Linked DNA regions of Xenopus tropicalis. The protein of the gene in region 2 interacts with the protein of the main gene of each other region in a pairwise test. Links are inferred from orthologs where the notes say so. Each region holds a gene or a part of one and is shown on either strand. Other genes may lie near its edges.

Region 1 (3,657 bases), on a different chromosome or scaffold from region 2:
ACAGGGTGTGTCAGGGCAGTGAGCTGGGTAAGTTTGCTACTCTGCGCTGGGCCCATTTTAAATTTTTTTGGAGGGGGGCCTGGTGTAGAGTAGTTAAGCCACTGGGATTTGGTTTGCAGATGACAGTGACGGTAACACTGCTCAGCCATGAACCTCAATTTTTATAAAACTACAAGTCTCTGCACCTGCTGACAGCCATGAGCTGTTTTCTAGCTCTATGAAAAACCGTGGCACAAAATAGCCAAGAGAAAAAAATGTAAGCTTTTGTAACTCTAGCGGTTCTGCCATTAAGGTGCACAGAAGATGGAGCACAAAGAGCTCATCCTCACTATAAATACAGCACTGCCTGTATTGGTGCTCTTTGGCACACTAAGTGGAAGACATGGGGGTGTCCTCTGGAATGTTCTAATAGCTTATGCCTAGTTTGGCTAGGTAAATCAGATAGCCTGCCATAGGCAGAACTGGCCTCTTGAGCTCAACAACTATGGTGGGCAAAGGAGAAGAGCACAATGTTCACCATCAATCCATAGTGCAGAAGCGCTTCATGGATGGATAATAGTGGCTTAGGCTCAAACAGTATCCATAAATTCTTTTGTGTTTGCCTTGCATAGAAAGGGCAGTTTAACCCCTTTTTTAACATTAGTACAATCAATACAGCATGTTTTACACATACCTTTTGCCCATTGTTTTACCCATTGTTTCTGAGCTAAGCAGAGCAAAATATGAAATTGAAAGTAAAGTTACATTCCACTTCTAGTTCTTCCAAACACAATCAAAACAAATCAGCAGTCCACTGAGAGACCCTCTGTATTATGCACTGCTTTTTATCTCAGGCATATCTCAAAGGCTTCAGCAGGGGTTCAGGGAGGGGTTTGTTTATACAGAGGCTTCTTAGTAGACTGCTTATTTGTTTTAATTGTGTCCAGACAAAAATATATTTTCTAATTAAAAAAAAAAAAAAGAATGTTCAGCATAAGCCCCATTCATTGAAATAATATTGAAAAGGGGAGTATATAGCTATTTTACAAAAGAAATCAGAGACTTTTGAATTCACACAATGCAGTGTCTACTCTATGTTGCACTCCCACCACAAACTACTTTTTTTATTGACATGCAGATCATGGGCCAGAAAATACTTACTGGAGTTAGGAGTGAACTCTCCATCCCGTTTTACAAATGCTTTCCTCTTCTCCTCCAGTAGTTGACTGGGGATCAAACCTGCAGTGCCACCTTTTACCAGACAGGCCTGGGGAACAGTAACAATTAGAAAAGAGACAGAGAATCAGGAGTTGTTCAATAGAATTACATTTATGATATCAGGGATCATTTACAAGCACAAGTGCAATTTTGGCTGAAAGTTGTCACGTTTTTACCCACAATGCAGTGTTATTCCATGTGGCTGTGACAAAAGATGTGCCTGATAGAGATGTGCGGGTTGAGAAATACTTGGCCCGCATCCAACTCTAATCAGCCGCTCCCAACTCAAACTCTACCCGGCCCGGCTTCTACCCTTTCTTTATAGATCCACGCCCGATGATGTCACAGTGGGCACACGCCTATAAATCCAACTGCTGGAAACCACAAGCCAGCTGTGTAAGGTAGTGGGCAGGAGGGCAGGTGGAAGAGCTCAACTCAAACCCACCCACGACCCGCAAATGGGGTGCCAAGGTCGTCCCAAACATGCCTGACCCGCAGGTCCTTCAGGTATCGGCCAGCCCACACATTACTAGTGCCTTTTCATGTGGAATAATAAGAAATGATGCTTGCTTTTGAACGTTAAGTAGACACAATTTTGCTGAAGGATTTACAATGTATGATTCTTTAGGCGTTTTGCACACAAGTCGTTATGGGAACTTATCATAAATAGGTGGACTGGTACACAATTCAAAACTGAAGGAACGGATTTGTGCCAAGTGGATAGCGCAAAGTCCTCCTATGTGGAAGTGCAAAGAGCAACTTTAGATGCAAGTCCTCTAATGAGTGGCTTCTTCATTCAAGGACCACAACTGTAGTTACAGTTGTAAATAAGCCCTGTTATCATCTCAGTTAATCCATGAACATTTCATAAATAGGTGAAAAAGTTCACCAATTGATAAATACACTTCTCAAGATCCCATAGGAATGAACAGAATATGGGTGAGTTTTTATGTATTTAGCTCCAGACTCCTATTTTGATCATTTTGGTTAAAGGGTTCCATGAGAATTGAGATGCTAGTCAGCCAAGGATTATCTAAAGACTGGTATGATATTAGATACACAGTGAGGAATGCTAGGGATAGAAATAGAATAAGTGCAACTGGATGAACCCCGGACTTTGGGATGATCCATTGATTGGGGAAACATTAATAAACCTGGTTTGGAGTTCTAGGTCAAATGAGATATAAACCACACAGGATCCAAAACTGGTCAATAGACTTGTGCTGGTGGATTCTAAAAGTTATCAGATGGTGGTAAGACATTAAACATGCAACCTCAGAGGATTTCAAGATATGCAAGGGTTTAACACCATTGGCTGCTAAGGTACACAGAATCGGTTAGATGTAAGTCACACAGGGTTGCAAGATCCCCCGGTATAGCACATAGACCTGGCGGATCAGTAGAAAGTTAAGCAAAAAAACGACAGGACCCCTGAATTAGACAGTAGTTTACATAAACAGGGCAAAGGGCACGAGTCATGCTAAAAATGGCTTGGAGAACACAAGACTGGAGAGGTGTTAAAGATAGTAGACTGCAGGCAAGGTGATCTGTAGGAAATAAAGACTGCTGACATGTTATAGACATAGGACTAGGGGAAACCTACATTGGTAAAATGTTAAAGCATTGGAGGATATGAAGACTGGAGAGATGTTAAAGTCAAGGGTCTTGAAGACACTAATTTAGGGGTATATTTATCATGCTGTGTAAAATGTAGAGTGAAGCATTACTGGTGATGTTGCCCAGGGCAACCAATCAGCAATTAGATTTCAACAGTTAGAAAACCAAAGCAAAGCATCTGATTGGCTGCTATGAGCAACATCACCAGTAATGTTGTACTCCAGTTTTTACAGTATGATAAATATACCCTTAAGACTGGAGTGATCGCCAAGACACAAGGGTGGTGAAAGGCAAGACTGGTGAGATGGTAAAATCAGAGGGATGGAGTCAAATTGGTTAGATGCTTATGGGGTTATGTAATAAAATGCACTAAGTTTGCCCAGGAGCAGTAACTCATAGCAACCAATCAGGTAGAATTTAATGGTCACCTGTTTAAAAGCAGACCTCTTATTGGTTGCTGTGGGTTACTTCTCCAGGTCAAACATAGTGCCTTTTATAACATATGGGGGTTACTGTACTGCACAGGAGAATACCAAGACCTCATGGACAAAACTGGCACTTTAACCATTACCCCCTACCTGCCACCAGTTGGGATCCTCTTGATTAACAATCTGTAGAAGGTCCCCAGCTTTGAAAGGCAAGCCAGCCTCTTTACATGGGATCAGACTGTCACTGGAAGGATCATAACTAAAGTGACACTTAACAAACACCTGAAAAAGAATTCACGAGTAACACTTATTGTATTATAAGGAATGTCATACATTTCATACATAAGGCTAACATAGGGCTTTCATTGTTATAAAACTGGTTAAAACCTCTGTGTACTGTATTATCTACATTTTG
Region 2 (3,657 bases):
GACTTTCCTTGGGCCAGGTTGGATCTGCACAGTACCATTGATTCCTATGGGAGGCTTCCAAAATCATGCACAGAATGATCAAAGTTGGAAAGGTTTTCCTGCATTTTACGATCGTTCGGTACAAAGATTTTGTGACTTTCGGATCACCAATACGATATTATCATGACTAACGTTTTTTTCGTAAGCATATTCGTGATATTTGCAACCTTAAGAAATTATCGTATCCAATCCGAATTAATCCCATTCAGGATTCAAACTCGTGTTTTCATGAATGTGCCCCTAAATGTTATAAAAAGCAGGTTCTAAAATATACCCACTGCACTGTAATCTCTGTATATTGTAAGGAAGAAAATTAATTTACACCTAATATTCCATAGTACATTTATTTAGAAGTTCATTACAGAAAGGTCTTTGCAGGAATGGGCAAAAAATAATTAGTTTTTTAATGAATGGAAACATAAGGACCCATGTTGAAAATATCATGCTGAGTGTTGGAAGGGAGCTGAAAAAAGGCAGACTATAGGCAGGAATCCAGCTGGACGTGATGGGCTTGGCTGTGATAGGGACAGTTGTAGGGACTGTACTACTTATCAGTATAAGCTACACAAACCTTGGCTTTTTCTATTATCCCTCTACCCCTATATTTTATATGCAATCCCCCAATCATAGCGATTGGCAATCTAAGTGGTTGAAAAAGCACAGCATTTACTTTTTAAGGGTGAGTTAGATCCTCTGGTGGGTGTCTGCATTATCAGCATGGACCCTGTGACCCATACGGTTCTGTTCCTGTATTGTACACTGCAGTAGTGATGCATTCTATAACTGGAAACATCATGAGGTCAATGTAGAAGTTGTTCTAGTAAAACTTTTTTAATTTGAGTTTTTTTTAATTTTTCATTTCTTTGAGAGTTTGTAGATCTATTGAAATGAAAAGGAGAATGCAAATTCACTGTAATCATTTTTTTTTTAATGTTATTATTCAATTGAGTTTTTTTTAATTTGAGTTTTCTAATAAATAAGCACACATTTGAGCTTGGTAAAATGAAAAAAGCTCTAAAATTCACAAATTTTAATTCTGACAGACCTCTGTGTGCCTTTTAGCTTCTACAGTAGAACAACCTGTTCTCAAGTGTTCCTAACTTTTTCTGGATAACAGCACATTGCATTCAAGAGGTAGGACAGTTGGACAGTTATTACTTTCATCTGCATTAAAAATATATTTTGCAGTCTACTTTATTGCTATAGGACATTTTCAGATATCTGGAACATGGAGAACATTGCTGCCAAGGGAATACGAAACAAAAAATAAAAAAGAAACGAACTAGAAAAAAATCACAAGCCTAATTTAGTTTTTTATGTACTATTTTACAGAGAATTTAGTAGTATGTTGCCTTTCCAGGCTTTGATAACTATTTACCTAAATTAAAAAAGCTTAAATATTCCTGGAATAATGGATGTGGTGGTCAAAGCTTTCTTTTTTATTGCTTAAGTGCTATTTGCCTTAATATGCTTGTGTTCCCCTGATGTTGAGTGTAAGAAAGAACATTTTTTACCCGTGAGCCACATTTAAAGGTAAAAATAGTTGGAGAGCAACACAAGCATTAAAAATGTTTCTGGGGATGCTAAATAAGAGCTGTGATTGGCTATTTGGTAGGCCCTATGTGCACTGGCAGCCTATGTTAGGCTCTGTTTGTCAGTACACCATTTTTATGTAACCAAAACTTGTCTCTGAGCCAGGAACTTAAAAAAAGAACCTCTTTTAATGCCACTGGAAGCAACATCCAAGGTGTTACAATTGCAAACATCTAATAGGCAAAATGCTACATGATTCAGGGTTTTTAAGTTGTTCTGGTAACTAAATAGGAACTTGATACATGTTTTTTAATGTAAATTTTTTCTAATGCACTAATGCCATAATATGTCTTTTTTCTGTATTCTTATAGATTCCATTAAGATAATTTTCCACCCTGCCTTTCTCTGTCCCTGAATTGCCACAAGTCTCTTGCGCCCATTTTAGAGCATGTATAGGCAGATTTGTGTGAAACTAGAGCTCAACACAGTCAAATTCCAATGCTCTCAATTAATTTTCTTTGGGATTTTTAGAGGTATAACGGTGAACTCTAACTTTCACTGATAAGTATGCCTTATCCCATGGAAATGAATAGAGAGCAATGGACTTTTACTGCAGTGAGCTTTAAATTCACACTTTGATAAAACTGCCCTTATTATACAACTCTTGGCATGACAAATTGTAAATGTATGTATCTTAGCTAATAAATTCATCTCACTAATCTAGTCACTTTAGTAAGTAGCTCATCATGATATTGAGTCATTCTGGTCTTGGTATCCTACCTCTCTTATGGCTGTGCAAAATTCACTCTGTAGTACTTTTTTCAGTGATTGCAGCTTTTGCACTGGGAGTTCTCCTGATGTCTCCAGCTTCTCTAACAGCTCTATAGCACGTGAAACATCTGTTGGATTGAACAGGAAAACACATGAATGTCAGCATATTTATTCAGAGGAGGATGTCATCAGTTATATTTGGTGATTGTTATGTTATTTGTGTAACTGGGTTGTAGAAACATGTGCATTGTACAAATTCTTTGTAAAATGTGAGGGTTTTGAGGTCATTCTAAAGCTCCAGCTAATCAATCATACCAATCAATAAACAATTAGGAGTTAATAGTCTGATAGGTTGATTTAGGTAACTAGACCTGTCAAACCTTTTACTTGATTGCTTTAGCCCTAAGCATTTACCACTTATTTACATTGGTCTAATGACATGTGTATTGGATCACTAAATAGATGTCAGACACAAGGTTATATAAGGGCTGTGGCAGATGGGGAGATTAGTCGCCCGCAACAAATCTCCCCGAAATACCATTCCACCGGTTAGTATGTAAATCAGCGGTGGGATGGCATACGCAGTTAGAGATGTAGCGAACCTCACAAAAAAAGTTTGCGAACCCGTTCGCGAACTTCTGCCAAAAAGTGCGAACTTTTGCGAACTTTGCGAACCCCATAGATTTCAATGGGAAGGCGAACTTTAAAACCTAGAAAAGCCATTTCTGGCCAGAAAACTGATTTTAAAGTTGTTTAAAGGGTGCCACGACCTGGACAGTGGCATGCAGGAGGGGGATCAAGGGCAAAAATTTCTCTGAAAAATACATTGTTGACACAGCGTTGTGTTTTGTGCTGTAAAGGACAGAAATCACACTACATTTCTAAACTTGTGTAATAAACTGCTTTAAAACGTCCGGCGTCTACATGCCAATCAAGTCATGTAAAGGTTACAGCCGGTTCACACGCAAAGACAAAACGCTGCAGTAGTGGATACGGAATATATTTTAAAAAAAAAATTAATAATAAAAAAAAAAGTGATCTCTGGTTGGTGCTGGGGGTGAACTACTAGGAGCAGCACACCAGTCTAGACTAATAGCACTGGGCTCTATAAATTACAGTAGCAAAGTAAAAAAACACAAATAAAAAAAATGATGTGAATGTGTGGTTGGTGCTCAGTGCACTACTATGAGCAGCACACCTGTCTCCAACACACACAGACGGAGCTGCAGTACACAATGAAAAGAAGACTAGAGTAACAGTAATCAGAAAATAAAAGCAGTCCTTACAAGGACTATTGGGTTACAGCAGATGAGA

The links.
Region 1: the proteins of lin7a (region 2) and mpp2 interact in binary tests that used the Homo sapiens proteins (3 or more experiments, as listed by UniProt). The two-hybrid records come from large-scale screens. The link is inferred for Xenopus tropicalis from reciprocal best matches to the Homo sapiens genes LIN7A and MPP2.

What each region holds. Positions count from the first base shown.
Region 1 is NC_030686.2:18,114,021-18,117,677, reverse strand, and holds part of mpp2 (MAGUK p55 subfamily member 2), read right to left. Parts: intron 3,525-3,657; coding exon 3,393-3,524; intron 1,247-3,392; coding exon 1,141-1,246; intron 1-1,140. UniProt on the Homo sapiens protein: Postsynaptic MAGUK scaffold protein that links CADM1 cell adhesion molecules to core components of the postsynaptic density. In CA1 pyramidal neurons, required for synaptic KCNN2-containing channel function and long-term potentiation expression.
Region 2 is NC_030679.2:52,581,863-52,585,519, forward strand, and holds part of lin7a (protein lin-7 homolog A), read right to left. Parts: intron 2,472-3,657; coding exon 2,353-2,471; intron 1-2,352. UniProt on the Homo sapiens protein: Plays a role in establishing and maintaining the asymmetric distribution of channels and receptors at the plasma membrane of polarized cells.